3 linked regions of the Oryctolagus cuniculus genome follow. The protein of the gene in region 1 binds, or shares a complex with, the protein of each later gene. Links are inferred from orthologs where the notes say so. Each region holds a gene or a part of one and is shown on either strand. Other genes may lie near its edges.

Region 1 (5,142 bases):
AGGCATTCATGGGTATTACACCAGACATGGTAGCAACAGACACCCTGAAGCAACAGCCTGTCACACTGACTCACCCCTGGGGAAAGTTCAGACGAACCCCTGCACGTAGCACAGTGAGTAAGAACAGAGAAAAGCCCGACTTAGAGGGAAAGGGAATCAGCTGTATGTGGACACAATGACACCACCAGCAGCTGGGCTGGACCTACGTACACAAGACGGAGGCTCTAAGCCCTGACTCTCCATCGAAAGTGCATTCAAATTAGCTTGCCTGCGAGCAGCTAAAAATAGCCAGCCAGCAGCTCGGAGGGGAGTGAGAAGAAAGGTGAGCTTCTCCCAAGGAGCTGCTGGGGTGGGCGGTCTGGGGGCTGCTAGCTGATGCTCCCCGGGAAGCAACCGAGAGGCTGCCAGGGAAATCTACCCCGCGGGGTGTCTCCAATCAGAGTCGGGAAGATGGAGGGGGGCCACAGTGGGGATCAAGGACCTCGGGACTCAGAGGAAACATGGCTTCCAATGCTAAGTACAAAAAAAAAAAAACCCAAAAAACAAAAAACAAACCCACACAACAGAACCATCTGCAGATACTGCTAAATCCAACGGTCAGCAGCACCAGGAGGAAGGTAAACAACAAATCAGATCCCAGGACAATAAGGTTCTCCATTCGACCCCCGTGAGGGCCAGAGCTGTAGGAGCCAGATACAAAGAACCATTGTCTCTCAGCGCAGGGCACAGAGCGTCCCTCTCACAGGGGCTGTGAGCAGCAGCCGGGCGTCCTGCGACCAGAGAGCACTGCTCCGTTCCCAGCAACTCCCACCCTGGACGCCGACCACGGTGGACCTTGAACTCACGTCCTCCAGGAGCCGTCCTTCTACCCGAAGCTCCCAGGAAGCCACCGTGCCTTCCCCGTCCTCGGCATCTGACTTAGCCGGGTTGAAAGTGTTCGAAATGAAAATTCGCAGCTTCCGTTTTTGCTGAGGAAGGCAGGGACAGGAGTGATGGTGGGGCTTCAGTGGTTTGACGCTGAAGACAAGGGTCTCCCCGAACCCCAAGGCTAACTCCTCCACGTTCGCCGTCTCCCCAGCCGCTTGGGTACACGGAGGGAGACTCCATTTAGGAGGGGACTACAGGCCTCGGGCCTGACTACGTGTGCGCACACCGCATGCCAGGTGGACCAGAGTCAGGCAAAGTGGCAGGTTCCCAAGGTAGCAGAGCAGTTATAGCAAACACATGGACAGGGGGTATTTCTGGAACAAGACATCAGAAGCCCCTCCCCTTTGCTGTTCTGTTCTGGATCGCCTAATGTAATTCCCTGTTTGTAGGCGGAAGGGGGAGAGGCAATTTAAATGCCAAGGAGAACAGCGCTGCGTCCTTGGTTTCTCCTCCCGGGCCTGACGCAGGTTCCCGCGCCCTCTCTTGGCGCTCCGCCTGGCGCGTCTGTGTGTTACCTTGATGGGACGTTTCAAGGCCTCCTGGATATCCAGCCGTTTCCTCATGATGGTCTGGTCCAGCTTCCTTTCAAAAGCCAAGAGATCCATATAGGCCTGGGACTCTGGAACCAGCTCGCGGATCTTAGGAACAGAAAGGTGATCACTGGGGTCTGGCGCCTGAGGGCTAGCCTCCAACTCACCGCGCCCTCGAGAAGACCCACAGTTGGGGACTCACCCTCTGAGGTAGAATTTTGTCAGCCATCTTCTTTTTCTTTGCACTGGTGGGGATAAATACTGTTATCAGGTTGGACTAGAACTAGTCAGAACAGGAAGATAAGCTGTCAGCACCTCCATGTATGGTCAAGCGAGGGGACCACAAAGCTGCCCTCAAATAAGATAGCCCCCTGCCCCCAAAACCCCTACCCCCATAAGCCCAATGATGAGTGGCAGGTCACCACCTGCTGATGCAGTCCCCCTACCCCCCACCCTTCCTGGCTCAGGGGCTCCCACCACCTGTGTCCTCCCAGTCCCCCTCTCCCCCCCCAGGGGTGGGGGGGCGGCTTACTTGTGGTTTCGGTTTTGGACCGCCTGCTGTTGGGCCTGCTGGATCTGCTGAGGCGCAGGCCTCTTGCGGGACTGGTCCATCCCTGACTGGGCCAGGCCAGGTCGGACTGAAGGAGTCCCCCCATAGCCAGGGGGTCCCATGGAAGGTCCCTGAGGTGTCATTCGGCTGCCTGGCAGCATGCCTGGTCTCTACAGAGGGGAGAGGACCCAGACATGTTCCAGAGGCCCGCACCGCGAGAGGGCAAGCTTGGGGCGCCTGAGTTCTCGGAATGAAACCAGGCTAGGGGGTTCAAGGACAATGAGAGGAGAGCCCTTGGCCTCTTGGAAATATGGGTAATTGGGGCTCCCTCCGTTCCACGAGTGCTTCCGTGGAAACACAGGGCCCAAAGGCTTAGAGGCAGCCGGACTGAGCCCACTCAGATTCTCCCCGGTCCACTTTGGATCTGACCCATGGCCATCTCCGCTGGTCCTGCACTTACTCGGCTAGCTTTGAAGCTGACCTCAATCTACACCGCCCAGCCCTCCGACACCCATCCCCGGCTGTACACCGACTCCCCTCGGAAACAATACCCCTAGGAGCAGGTGGAGATCTAAGTGCCTCCCCCGCCCGCCCGGCCCCGGCCCGGGCCCCGGCCCCTGCCCAAACCCCTCCCAGGGGAGTCCCTCCCACTTCTACCCCTCCCCTGTCACTCCCAGGCCCCCGCTCGGCCCCGCCCCCGGCCCGCGCGCCCCTCCTCCTGCCCCACTCACCGGATAGGCCGCTCCTGGCATCGGGGAGCGGTACAGCCCTTGACCCGGCGCCGGGCCCATTCGCACGGGAGGCCCCGGGGTTCCACCCGGGCCCAGGGCAGCCGCCGCGCCCGCCCCGCCTGAGGCTCCGGCGCCGCCGCTCGGAGCCACAGATTGGAAACCCGCCCGGGCAGCCATCTTCCCGGAGCCGCCGCGGCAGCTGCACAAAGAACCGGAACCGGAACTCCCCCCGCCCCCCGCGTGCGCCCCCCGAGCGCCCGCCTGTCCGCTGCCTGCCTGCCTGCCCGGCAGGCACGGGCAGCTCAGGGCAGCGAGACTTGTGGGCTAGAGGGGGGCGACTAGCGGAAAAGGAGTGCAGGCCACGCCCTCCCGCCTTCAGGGTCCGGAGCGAAGACCATAGAGAGGAGCTGTGGGGTAGAGAGGCCCCGCGAGCGGGCGCCGCCAGCCGACGGGAGGCCGACAGGGCCCTGGGAAGAGGGGGACCGCAGCCCAGCCCCAATCCTGCCTCCAGCCGCTGATGCAGGATTTGGAGTTAACTGCCTGGTCTCCAAAGAGCTTTGCATGCTTTTCTCTTCGTCTCTTACTGCTCTAACCCCGAGGAGCTGAAGAGGAGAACGCATTATTTTCACTTTATAAATGGGAAAGTCGAATTCGAAGACGGTAAACGACTTCGCAAAGGTTAATCAGCAAGTTAGCAGGCGGGCCAGATCCTAGAATCCAGGCTCGGAGCCCGGCACTCAGAGAAAGTCCCACAATAACCACTAAACGCGGGAACTTCCACCCAGTCCTGGAGCGGACTTGCAGCCTAACCTTCTTCCAGATGTTGAGTTGCCGCTTCAACTTGAATCTGCACCCTGCCCTTCTCCAAAGAATCCGCTGTGCTGGGAGTTGTTTGGGGTCTTCGTTACCTTTGACCCCTCCCTCTGAAACCATTCCTGTTGTGAGGTCAGCCTTTCCTATCCCAGGAGGACCCGGGCCACCCTGTTCAAACCTCCTCTTTCCTCTTCCCCGGATTGTGCGAGCCCCCCCCCTCCCCCCAAGGCTAGCCAAGCTCTGGGCAGTTAGCGGGAATACTAGATACTTTCCAAAGAAGAGAACAACACTGAAGCGAAGACGGTTAAAACCCAGTTTATTAGACCAGTGGCATGCGTCACGCAGAGTCCTGCCTGCTGTTCCCCAATCCACTGCACAATTCTTGGCTTTGCTCCCGCACCCCTCTCGGGGAGGTCTGATCTCTAAGGAACTCCTGGGGAACCCAGGAATTCCCAAGAGCCCTAGCCTCTTCAGCTCCAGGCGGGTGCACACAGGGCACCTGCCCACGGGTCCTGCTCTGGGACTGGAGACCAAGAGACAGGTGGGCAGAGAAGGCCTGGGAAGGGGTGGGGCTCTGGCCTGCGGGGAGCGGCTAGTAGAGGCAGTGGGGCAGGCCCTCTACCTCGCTTGGGTCCCTCATCAAGGGGCGGACAAAAAACAGAGCTTTCAACTCACTCCCTCTAGGTGTCTTTCCCCCCCACTGCCAAATCCTACCTAACCCAAAAATATAAGTGGTGGGCTTCGGTATCCGCTGGGGGAAGGGGCTGGGTGCCCAGGAGGAGGGAAAGGCCACAGACCGAGGGCCTCAGCTTCTGCCGGTCAGCCTCCCACTGCCCCAGCTGCAACAGTCACCAATCCCCAGTTCCCTTCTCTCTTGGTCACTCTTGGCTTGGTGTCTAGAGGCGGTCTCTGTCCCCTGGGCTGGGGGCTACCTCTGCAGCTGACCCTTCCCTGGGAGGACAAGGGCAGGGGGCTAGGTGGAGCAGCAGGAGGATGTTAAGGCTGCAGAGGGTGCCCTGGGGGCTGGCGGGAGAGGGTGAGGCCAGAAAGAGGCAGAGTTTGTGATTCACAGCTTCCTTTTATGTCGCCACCGAGACAGTGCGAGGGTTACAATGCGCGTGTCGTCTCCTTGTGCTTCTCAGAGGGATGTGTGTACACAGTACAGACACCGGGGAGAGAGTCCAATTCTTTATACAGGCGAAGGCATTCAGAGACCAGGGAGGGAGCAGAGACACAGAGGGGCTGGTTGGGAGGCTTGGGGTGGGAGGATGGTTTTCAGAGACAAGAGGGGATGGGGTCCAGACAGACAGGGGAGGGGCAAAAGTATACACAGAGATGTAGCAATATAGAGTCTGTATCATATAGAAATAGAAAATGCAGATGAGGTCGTTGAAAGAAGCAAATGAAGTCGGAGAAGAAGTCTTGGGGGAGTTCCATAAGAAAATTTATGGATGTGGCCCTCCGCGGGGGCCTCCGGGGGAGGGGCCGGTGAGGGTGAACTTGTAGGTTATCAGAATGTGGCCTACAGCACCAGGGCCACATCTTGTGCCCATCGGGGCCTCCTCCACCTGCACCCCCACAGATATTCAAC
Region 2 (4,575 bases), on another chromosome or scaffold:
GACATTGGAGGGGTCAAACAGGCCCTCGGGAATGCGGAGCCGCTCGGCACCGTAGTCCGTGTTGTAGCCATTGGGCATCTCGTAGTGCACTGTGGGCATCTGTGCAGCCACCCTGCCCGGGAAGGAGCAAGACTCTGCTTGGGGTGCTCACAAAAGCCCCAGGGGGAGGGCCCCCCTGAGCCCTAATTCCATCTCCTCCCCCACCCCCCAGCTCCGAGCCCCACTCACTGCTCATCGTAGGGGGAGTCTGAGACCTGTAGCACCGAAGCCTGGAAGTCCTGGATCACCTCCTGAGAACCGGGGAGGGGTGAGGACCTGGTTTGGCTCCCGAGCATCCACCTCCACCCCCCTGCAGAGCCTCTGGGGAGGGGTCTGTTTCAGGGGGCCCTCCCCAGTGCCTCACGTTGCACATGTAGTTGTGCCAGGACTTGGAGACCTGAGGTAGCTTCTCCTTCTTCTTCCAGTTTGGGGGGGCACCCTCTCGAACAGGCTCCTGTAGGGGTACAGCCTCTAAGCACCCCAGCCCAGCCCAAGCTTGTCTAGCCCAAATGACCGCACCTGCCTTCCTAGGCTGGCTGGCTTGGGATCTTTGCTCTGCGGGCCTGGAGAGGTGTCCCTCACCCTTCTCTGATGGAGAGGAGAGAGAACGGGCAGGGTCACACAGCATGGGTGCCAATGGGAGACCAGAAGCTTCCAGGAATGGCCTTTCACTGGGCTGTGTTTCATGAGAGGTGCATGCTGTATCACTGGACACTCCCAGAGTCCTCTCCACTGAGGTTCAGGGAGTTTCCACACCGTTCCTGACGTTACACAGCTCAGAGGCAGAGGCAGAACTCACACCTGGGTCTGCTGGACCCCAGAACCCACAGCACAGTCCTTCTGCAAGCCGGCCGGCTGCATAATATCTCAGTCATGTCCCTCAGCCCGGCCAGGTCTCGGATGCCTCGACTGGAAATGGAGGAACTGGATCCAGGGTCTCCTGGGGGCCCTACTGCTTTCTACCCTGCTGGCTCATGGGTCAGGGGGCTGACGGGCATAGGGTGAGCGCCTGGGACTCTGTGGTGGCAGCTCCGGGTCCCTGGGGGCCCCACCTTGGCTGCAATCATGTATGGGGGGATGATGTCGATGGCCATTTCCTGGAAGAGCTCGCGGCACTGCATGGAAATGAAGTCCCCTGCCAGGGGCGACTTGACGATGCCTGAAGAGGAAGCAGCGTCAGGACCCGGTCCTCCCGAGGGCACCCCCAGCCCCTGCCGAGCCCCCACCTTGCTGCAGAACGTAGCCATCGTGCACTGGAATGGCCGTGGTGTGTGTGGCCCCGCTGTCCAGCACAAGGCCCGTGGAGCGTCCATTTGCAAAGCTGGTGTGGGACGGGTGGGTCAAAGAGACTGCAGCAGCCAGTAGGGACTGGGACTCAGATCTGGCTCGGTCACTCCCTGCTCTCCCTGCGTCCCGCCCACCGGTCTGCAAGTCCCTCCCCCTGGCGCAACTCCTGCGAGAGGCTCCTAAGACCCCCGTCTTCCCTGTCTGAGTCACAGCTTTTTCCTCTCTTCCTTCTGAACTCCCAGCTCTTCATGCCTAGCTCTGTGTCCTACGGGCGCCTTGAAATTAAGCGATCCTATCACCCCAGAGCCTAGCGCGGGGGTCAAGGCAAGGCAGGCCATGAAGAAAGGGCAACGCTGATTGGCTGTTTAAGAAGGAAACCCCCCCCGTGTCTTACGCTGATTGGCTGATTGGGAGGGACCCCCCCCCGTGTCTTACGCTGATTGGCTGATTGGGAAGGAGCCCCCTTCCGTGTCATATCCCCCTCCCTGTCTCCAGCTCCAGCCCCGGCCGTCTACTTGTCCGACTCTCTCTCTACTCCGCTTGATCCAAGGAATGAGGAAAGATCCTTGATCTGCCCCCCATGCACTCAACCCGTTGGGCCTTCTGCACCAGTGGGGTGAAGGGAGGCGTCTGTCCACCCGCGACACTGATCTTCAGAGAACCAGCCCAGCTCCCGGCTCAGCGCTCCACACACCCCACCCTGGTCCTCCGCCCAGGCGGAGCAGCTCAACCCGGAGGATACGCGGTGAGCACGGCGGTCTTGCACAGGAAGAAGGCAGGAATGTTGTACTGCTCGAACATCAGCTCCGTCAGCTTCTCCCTCTTGGCCCGAGTATTCCACTGGGGAGGAAGTGCAGGACGGGAGGCGTCAGCAAGGGAGAGGCCCAGACCCACAGCCGTGCATGGGGGTGCACACATACTCTCACACGCACACACACACTAGTACACGTATGCGTACATCAACGCACACATACGTACACACAACTCTGACAGGGGACACAGATCAAGCGCCTTGGTTCACACGGATCTGTAGAATGTGAGAGCTGTCAAGAATGTCACAGCACAAACTTAGCTGAGGAAGGCAAAACTCAGAGACTTGCCCAAGATCACCCAGGAGCTCTGGACGGAGCTGTGTCCGGAGTCATTGTCCTTGCACCGTGGCCTAAGGGCTCTTTTCTGGCAGTACCCCTCTCAGGCCATTCCCAGACCTCCGTCTAGCCCAAAGCAGCAGACGGGGTTTCTGGGTTAATAATGGTAGATTGAACACACATATCTAATTTTACTCTGATCCAGGACTCCAGGGAAACCATAATCAAATGCAAATGCAAAAGGCTAATGAGTACCACTTCACCCCCACCAGAGAGTGATGTAACTAAAATCCAGAAGACAACAAGTGTTGGCAAGGACGTGGAGACAGAAACCCTGACACGCTGCTGGTGAGAATGTAAAATGGTTCAGCTGGTGATTACCCGAAAAGACGCACACTGAATTACCATAGGATCCAGCAACTCTACTCTGGGTCATATGTGATGGAGAACTAAACACAAGTACTCAGATCCTTGTACACGAATGTTCACAGCAGCACTGTCCCTGATAGCCAAAGGCAGAATTGATCCAAATGGCCCCCAGGGGATGAAAGATAAATAAACTGTAATAGATTCCATAGTATTCAGCCTTTTATTTTATTTATTTATTTATTTATTTATTTATTTATTTTGACAGGCAGAGTGGACAGTGAGAGAGAGAGACAGAGAGAAAGGTCTTTCTTTTGCCGTTGGTTCACCCTCCAATGGCCACCTCAGCCAGTGCGCTGCGGCTGGCGCACTGTGCTGATCCGATGGCAGGAGCCAGATACTTATCCTGGTCTCCCATGGGGTGCAGGGCCCAAGCACTTGGGCCATCCTCCACTGCACTCCCGGGCCACAGCAGAGAGCTGGCCTGGAAGAGGGGCAACCAGGACAGAATCCGGCACCCTGACCGGGACTAGAACCTAGTGTGCTGGCGCCGCAAGGCGGAGGATTAGCCTAGTGAACCGCAGCGCCAGCCAGTATTCAGCCTTAATAAGGAATGACACAGTGACACACGCTGCAAGCTGGATGCACTTTAAAAAGCATTACGCTAAGTGGGGGAAGAACACCCAAAGTCACAGATTATGTGGTTCCTTTTATAGGAAAGGCCTGGCACAGATCTGTCCAAAGAGACAGCAGACTGGAGGCTAGAGAGCAGTGGAAAAAACCTATCTCAAGGAAGGGATTTCCTTTTAGGGACGAGGAAAATATTTTGACTAGATAGTGATGATAATTACATTAAACATCATGGGGCTAGCACTGTGGCCTAGAAGGTTAGGCTTCTGCCTGCAGTGTCAGTATCCCATATAGGCACCGGTTCAAGTCCCAGCTGCTCCACTTCTGATCCAGCTCCTTGCTAATATGCCTGGGAAAGCAGTGGTGGATGGCCCAAGTGCTTGGGCCCTGCATCCCATGAGAGACCAGGATAAATACTTGGCTCCTGACATCGGATCAGCGCGGTGCGCCGGCCGCAGTGTGCTGGCCATGGCGGCCATTGGAGGGTGAACCAGTGGCAAAGGAAGACCTTTCTCTCTGTCTCTCTCTCTCACTGTCCACTCTGCCTGTCAAATAAAGAAAGAAAAAGAAAAAAGAAAAACAAAAAAGAAATACACGAAATCTGTTCTCTTTATATTAATAATTTTTTTAAATCATGGAATTGCTTTTTTCTCAGAAATATGGAGAGAGAGAGAGACAGACAGAGCTCCCATGCATTGATGTACTCCCCCAAATCCTTCAACAGCCAAGACTGGGCCAGGCTGAAGCCAGAAGCCAGGAACTCAATCCAGGTCTTCCACACGGGGGACAGGGATCCAAATAACTGAGTCATCACTTGCTGCCTCCCAGGGGTGCACACTAACAGGAAGCCGGAATCAGAAGCAGAGCTGCGACTTGTACCCAGGCACTCTGATGTAGGATGCAGGCATCCCAAGTGGCGTCGTAACCACTATGCCAAATGCCTGCCCCTCAATGATTGACTTAAAAAGGTGAATTTTATGTCATGTGAATTTCACCTGAGAAAGAGTAGTGCCTCAGGTTGTGAAAAGAAGAAAAGAGTGGCTGGTGCTGCGGCTCACTAGGCTAATCCTCCGCCTGTGGCGCCGGCACACCTGGTTCTAGTCCCGGTTGGGGTGCCAGTTCTGTCCCGGTTGCTCCTCTTCCAGTCCAGCTCCCTGCTGTGGCC
Region 3 (4,575 bases), on another chromosome or scaffold:
TTCTCTCTCTCTGCCTCTCCTTCTCTCTCTGTGTAACTCTGCCTTTCAAATAAATAAATCTTTAAAAAAAAAAAAAAAAGAGCAAGCTTCTATTACCTAGAGTGCATTGAGTTTCTGTGATGACGTTTAACTCTCTCAGGTACAGTTTCTCCTTATGAGACAAATCTCGTCTCTCTAAATCTCCAAAAGGGAAGAACAGAAGACTATTAATAACAGTAAAGCATTATGCATTATAAAACTTACAAAAGCTTAAAAATTTTCTGTTTAAAAGTACTTCATGTCATGTATCTCAAATACTGTTAAAGGGGCTACACAAAAATTGTTTGAATTCAAGGAATAAAACTGAAAACAGAATAACCCAAAGATAACATAAATAACTGTACGGAACAATTCATCAAAGGTAGTCCTCCTGCAACTCAAGCATGGCTTCTGTACTAACTCATTCCTAAAGTCAAGGAGCAGTGGCAAAACAAACTCATGGCTAGAGATGGGTTTTGTCTTAAATTTCTCCAGGAAAGTCCCCTTTCTCATTTTGCTTTTATATCAGTTCGTGAGACATAATAACACATCAATAGGTGGAGAAGCTGAATGCCAATAAATGAAAATCAGAGCGCACAAGAATAAAATATATATTACCAATAATCCACATCCAAGAATTCAGTGGTTGATAAGCTATCATAAAAAACTACTCTTAGTTAAGAAGTTAGATTTCATTATCACACAGCTAAGACTCAAGTACCTGGATATTTCCGTTTAAAGGAGGTCACGCCCAAATATTCACTGACTTGTTCCTGAAGCATGTAGTACTCTCCGGCTTCATCAGGTGGCCACTTGTACTCTATCAGGTTTTCTGCTGGATAGTAACTGAAGCTAAGCACAAAAGATACACATTATGTCTTCAATGTGGCTTCCATCAAACTTATCACTTCTAATTTTTGAGGATATTTTGAAAGCTCTTTTAAGTATTTAAATTCTTTGCCTGTTATGGCTTGATGTTGTGACAAGCCAAAAAAATATAAAACAGGTAATAGGAAGAGAAACAATTATCTGAAGTATCAAAGCAAAAGGCACGTTGGAAGTAACACCTTCTATAAACCAAGAAGAAGGAGACTCACGTGGCACTTTCAGACTTACGAGGCCAAAGCAAGGTGGCTACCGCTCTGAATTTTTTCTCTTGGACTCATTACCAGTATAAGAGCAGTTCAAAGGCCGGTGCCGTGGCTCACTAGGCTAATCCTCCACCTGCGGCGCCGGCACTCTAGGTTCTAGACCCGGTCGGGATGCCGGTCCTGTCCCGGCTGCCCCTCTTCCAGTCCAGCTCTCTGCTGTGGCCAGGGAGTGCAGTGGAGGATGGCCCAAGTGCTTGGGCCCTGCACCCACATGGGAGACCAGGAGAAGCACCTGGCTCCTGGCTTCGGAGCAGTGCGCCGGCCGCAGCGCACCAGCCGCAGCGACCATTGGAGGGTGAACCAATGGTAAAGGAAGACCTTTCTCTCTGTCTCTCTCTCTCTCACTGTCCACTCTGCCTGTCAAAAAAAAAAAAAAAAAAAAAAAAGAGCAGTTCAAAAAGTTCATGAAAGATGGAAATTAAATAAAGAATTTTAGTGCAAAATTTGAAATCCATGACGTTTTTTCCTCTGTTTTTAAAAAATACTTATTTTGTCATATGAAAGAGTTACACAGAGAGAATCCACCTGCTGGTTCACTCCCCAAATGGCCACAACAGCTGGAGCCAGGCCAGGCTGAAGTCAGGAGCCTGGATCACTATCCAGGTCTGCCACATCGGTGTCAGGAGTCCAAGCACTTGGGCCAATGAGGCCATCTTCCACTGTCTTCCCAGGCACATTAGCAGAGCAACAGATCAGAAGCAAAGCAACCAGGATTCAAACCAGCGCTGATACGGCATGCCAGTGTCACACGCAAAGATTTAACTCGCAACACCATGCCACCACCAGCCCTGCTTTTTTTCCATAATATGCATTTCCCATGAACACTTTGCACAGTCTTCCTTTCGACCGCTAGGTATAACCAACTTCTGATTGTCTCCTGTTCAGCGAGTCACACACAGCCGAGGAAGTCGAGCTCTGGAAGCCCCCTCCTCAGAGAGCCCAACAAAAGGATAACCTGTCCTCTCGCCCTCCACAAACTCAGAGGCAATGGGGACACCTACACGGGTAGCAGGACACGCAGTCAACCGCATGCTGAAGTAGCAGCACCTGTGACCGTTCAACTTCTACCCCACAGGCAGGAAGGGGACACTATCTTCTGCAACTACCCATTTACAAAGAAGCTGACACAAACAGTATTCTCAAAGTTAGTGTTGGAAAACTGGATAACCACGTGCACAAGTATGAAATTTGATCCCTGACCTCATATCAAGAACAAAAATTAACTCAAATGAAGCAACAACCAAAATATAAGCTATCAGAAAGCTCTTCAAAGAAAGCACAGTAAATCTTCATGACCTGGGATTTGGCAATGCATTATTAGATAAGATACCAAAACCACAAGTAACAAAAGAAAAGATAGTCTAGATTTCATCAAAATAAAAAAACTGCATCAAAGCACACTATCAACAGAGAATGAGACAAAATTCCTTCAAATCATGTATCTGGAGCCGGCGCCGTGGCTCAATAGGCTAATCCTCCACCTTGCGGCGCTGGCACACCGGGTTCTAGTCCCGGTCGGGGCGCCGGATTCTGTCCCGGTTGCCCCTCTTCCAGGCCAGCTCTCTGCTATGGCCAGGGAGTGCAGTGGAGGATGGCCCAGGTGCTTGGGCCCTGCACCCCATGGGAGACCAGGAAAAGCACCTGGCTCCTGGCTCCTGCCATCGGATCAGCGCGGTGCGCCGGCTGCAGCGGCGGCCATTGGAGGGTGAACCAACGGCAAAGGAAGACCTTTCTCTCTCTGTCTCTCTCTCTCACTGTCCACTCTGCCTATCAAAAAAAAATAAATAAATAAAAAAAAAAAAAATCATGTATCTGATAATGAAGTAATATCCAGAATATATAAAGAACTACTGTAACGAAACACACACACACACACAACCCAAATTAAAAATGAAGGACTTGAGCAGGGATTCTCCAAAGAAGATAAACAAATGGCCAAAAAGCACACACAAAACACTCAACATCCCTACTCATCATGGAAATGCAAAACAAAATCAATATAAGATGCCATACCTTTTAAGATAACTGTTACCAAAACAAAGCAGAAAATAACAAACTGGCAAGGATGTTAAGCTGATGGGAAAGCAAAAATGGTGTAGCCCCTAGAGAGAAGTGTTAACAGCTCCTCAAAGACTAACAGAACTGCCACCAACTCCAGTGTTCACTGCAGCACTCACTGTAGCCAGAGGCAGAAAGAACCCCAACATCCCTCAGCATATGAATGAACACACGCGGCCTTAACAAGGCATTTCTGATGTAAGAGACTGCATGGAAGAGAGTACACTAAGTGCAACAAGCCAGACAAAAAGGACGAACACCGCATGGCTCTGCTTTCGGTGGTGTTTAGAAAAGTCACATTCACGGACACAGAGAATGACAGTTGCCACAGTCGGGGGAAGGAGGAAATGGAGGCTATTGCTTAACGCTTACGGCGTTTTACGGGTTAGTCAAAAGGTCTGCAAACAGATGGGCAACAGTCGTGCAATCCTGATTAATGACACTGAACTGCACACTTAAGTATAGTTAATATGCTGCATTTTATCTATTTTCTATGATAAATTTTATTTCAGACGCTCTCAGTAGCAAGATCAACTTTGGCGTAACATTGTAAAACAGGAAGAAAACACTCCACAGTGTTTAATAACCCCTTTGCCAAGGCTGGGGAACTGGAAGAGGCAGTAACACAGAGAACAAGCAGTGACAGGACAATACCCAAGATCTTGACTCGAAGTTTCACAGCTTCTGGAGCTGTCTCCTGAGCCCATTCTCCTCCTTTTGGGTGGTTGAGTGCCATCATTTGAATTATCTTCATTGTCATCCTATACATTTAAAGGTTCAAAAAGTACTAATTAGAGAATAAATAATAAAGAATAAAGAAATTTTCCCAGACTTGCTAAAAGTCTCATTAAGTCAAACATTTTCAAAGGACTAGTTATATAAATTTTAACTTCCTATTAATTAAAAGGGGATAACAATCTGTAATGACCACAAAACTGCAAACAAAGCAAGAAAACTTTCAACTTAACCATAAATCTAAATCTATTTTTGCTTTCTTGGCAGGATTAAAATGCCTTTTGCTTCCAATAACCATAAAACCGTGGCGTCACTCCTACCGCAGCTGGAGGAAATGCATCAACATTTAAAGTACTGAACTGAACTGAGAGTAAGTTCTGACAATGCTAGCTGATTACTTTAGGTATTCATATCCCTGTAAAAGGGGGACTTGTGAGTACAGGGACTAAAATCAGGTTACTAACTATTCACTTTTTTCTTATATAGCAAAAATATAACCTACTCTATTGTACTCATACAGTAACACATGCACTTCCCCAAAAGAAGAGTCCTGTATATTTTTTATGCAATTACTGACATGACAGGAATAACCGAGGCTGTGAATTCAACCATT

The links.
Region 2: SMARCD1 (region 1) and ACTL6B share a complex: the UniProt entries of both Homo sapiens proteins name them as parts of the BAF complex. The link is inferred for Oryctolagus cuniculus from reciprocal best matches to the Homo sapiens genes SMARCD1 and ACTL6B.
Region 3: SMARCD1 (region 1) and PHF10 share a complex: the UniProt entries of both Homo sapiens proteins name them as parts of the neural progenitors-specific chromatin remodeling complex. The link is inferred for Oryctolagus cuniculus from reciprocal best matches to the Homo sapiens genes SMARCD1 and PHF10.

Annotation. Positions count from the first base shown.
Region 1 is NC_091442.1:53,417,778-53,422,919, reverse strand, and holds the start of SMARCD1 (SWI/SNF-related matrix-associated actin-dependent regulator of chromatin subfamily D member 1), read right to left. Parts: upstream 3,525-5,142; 5' UTR 2,916-3,524; coding exon 2,739-2,915; intron 2,178-2,738; coding exon 1,990-2,177; intron 1,703-1,989; coding exon 1,660-1,702; intron 1,566-1,659; coding exon 1,443-1,565; intron 969-1,442; coding exon 846-968; intron 1-845. UniProt on the Homo sapiens protein: Involved in transcriptional activation and repression of select genes by chromatin remodeling (alteration of DNA-nucleosome topology).
Region 2 is NC_091450.1:42,835,286-42,839,860, forward strand, and holds part of ACTL6B (actin-like protein 6B), read right to left. Parts: intron 2,167-4,575; coding exon 2,069-2,166; intron 1,361-2,068; coding exon 1,266-1,360; intron 1,199-1,265; coding exon 1,092-1,198; intron 494-1,091; coding exon 404-493; intron 291-403; coding exon 229-290; intron 113-228; coding exon 1-112. UniProt on the Homo sapiens protein: Involved in transcriptional activation and repression of select genes by chromatin remodeling (alteration of DNA-nucleosome topology).
Region 3 is NC_091436.1:630,301-634,875, reverse strand, and holds part of PHF10 (PHD finger protein 10), read right to left. Parts: intron 3,989-4,575; coding exon 3,882-3,988; intron 871-3,881; coding exon 740-870; intron 181-739; coding exon 97-180; intron 1-96. UniProt on the Homo sapiens protein: Involved in transcription activity regulation by chromatin remodeling. Belongs to the neural progenitors-specific chromatin remodeling complex (npBAF complex) and is required for the proliferation of neural progenitors.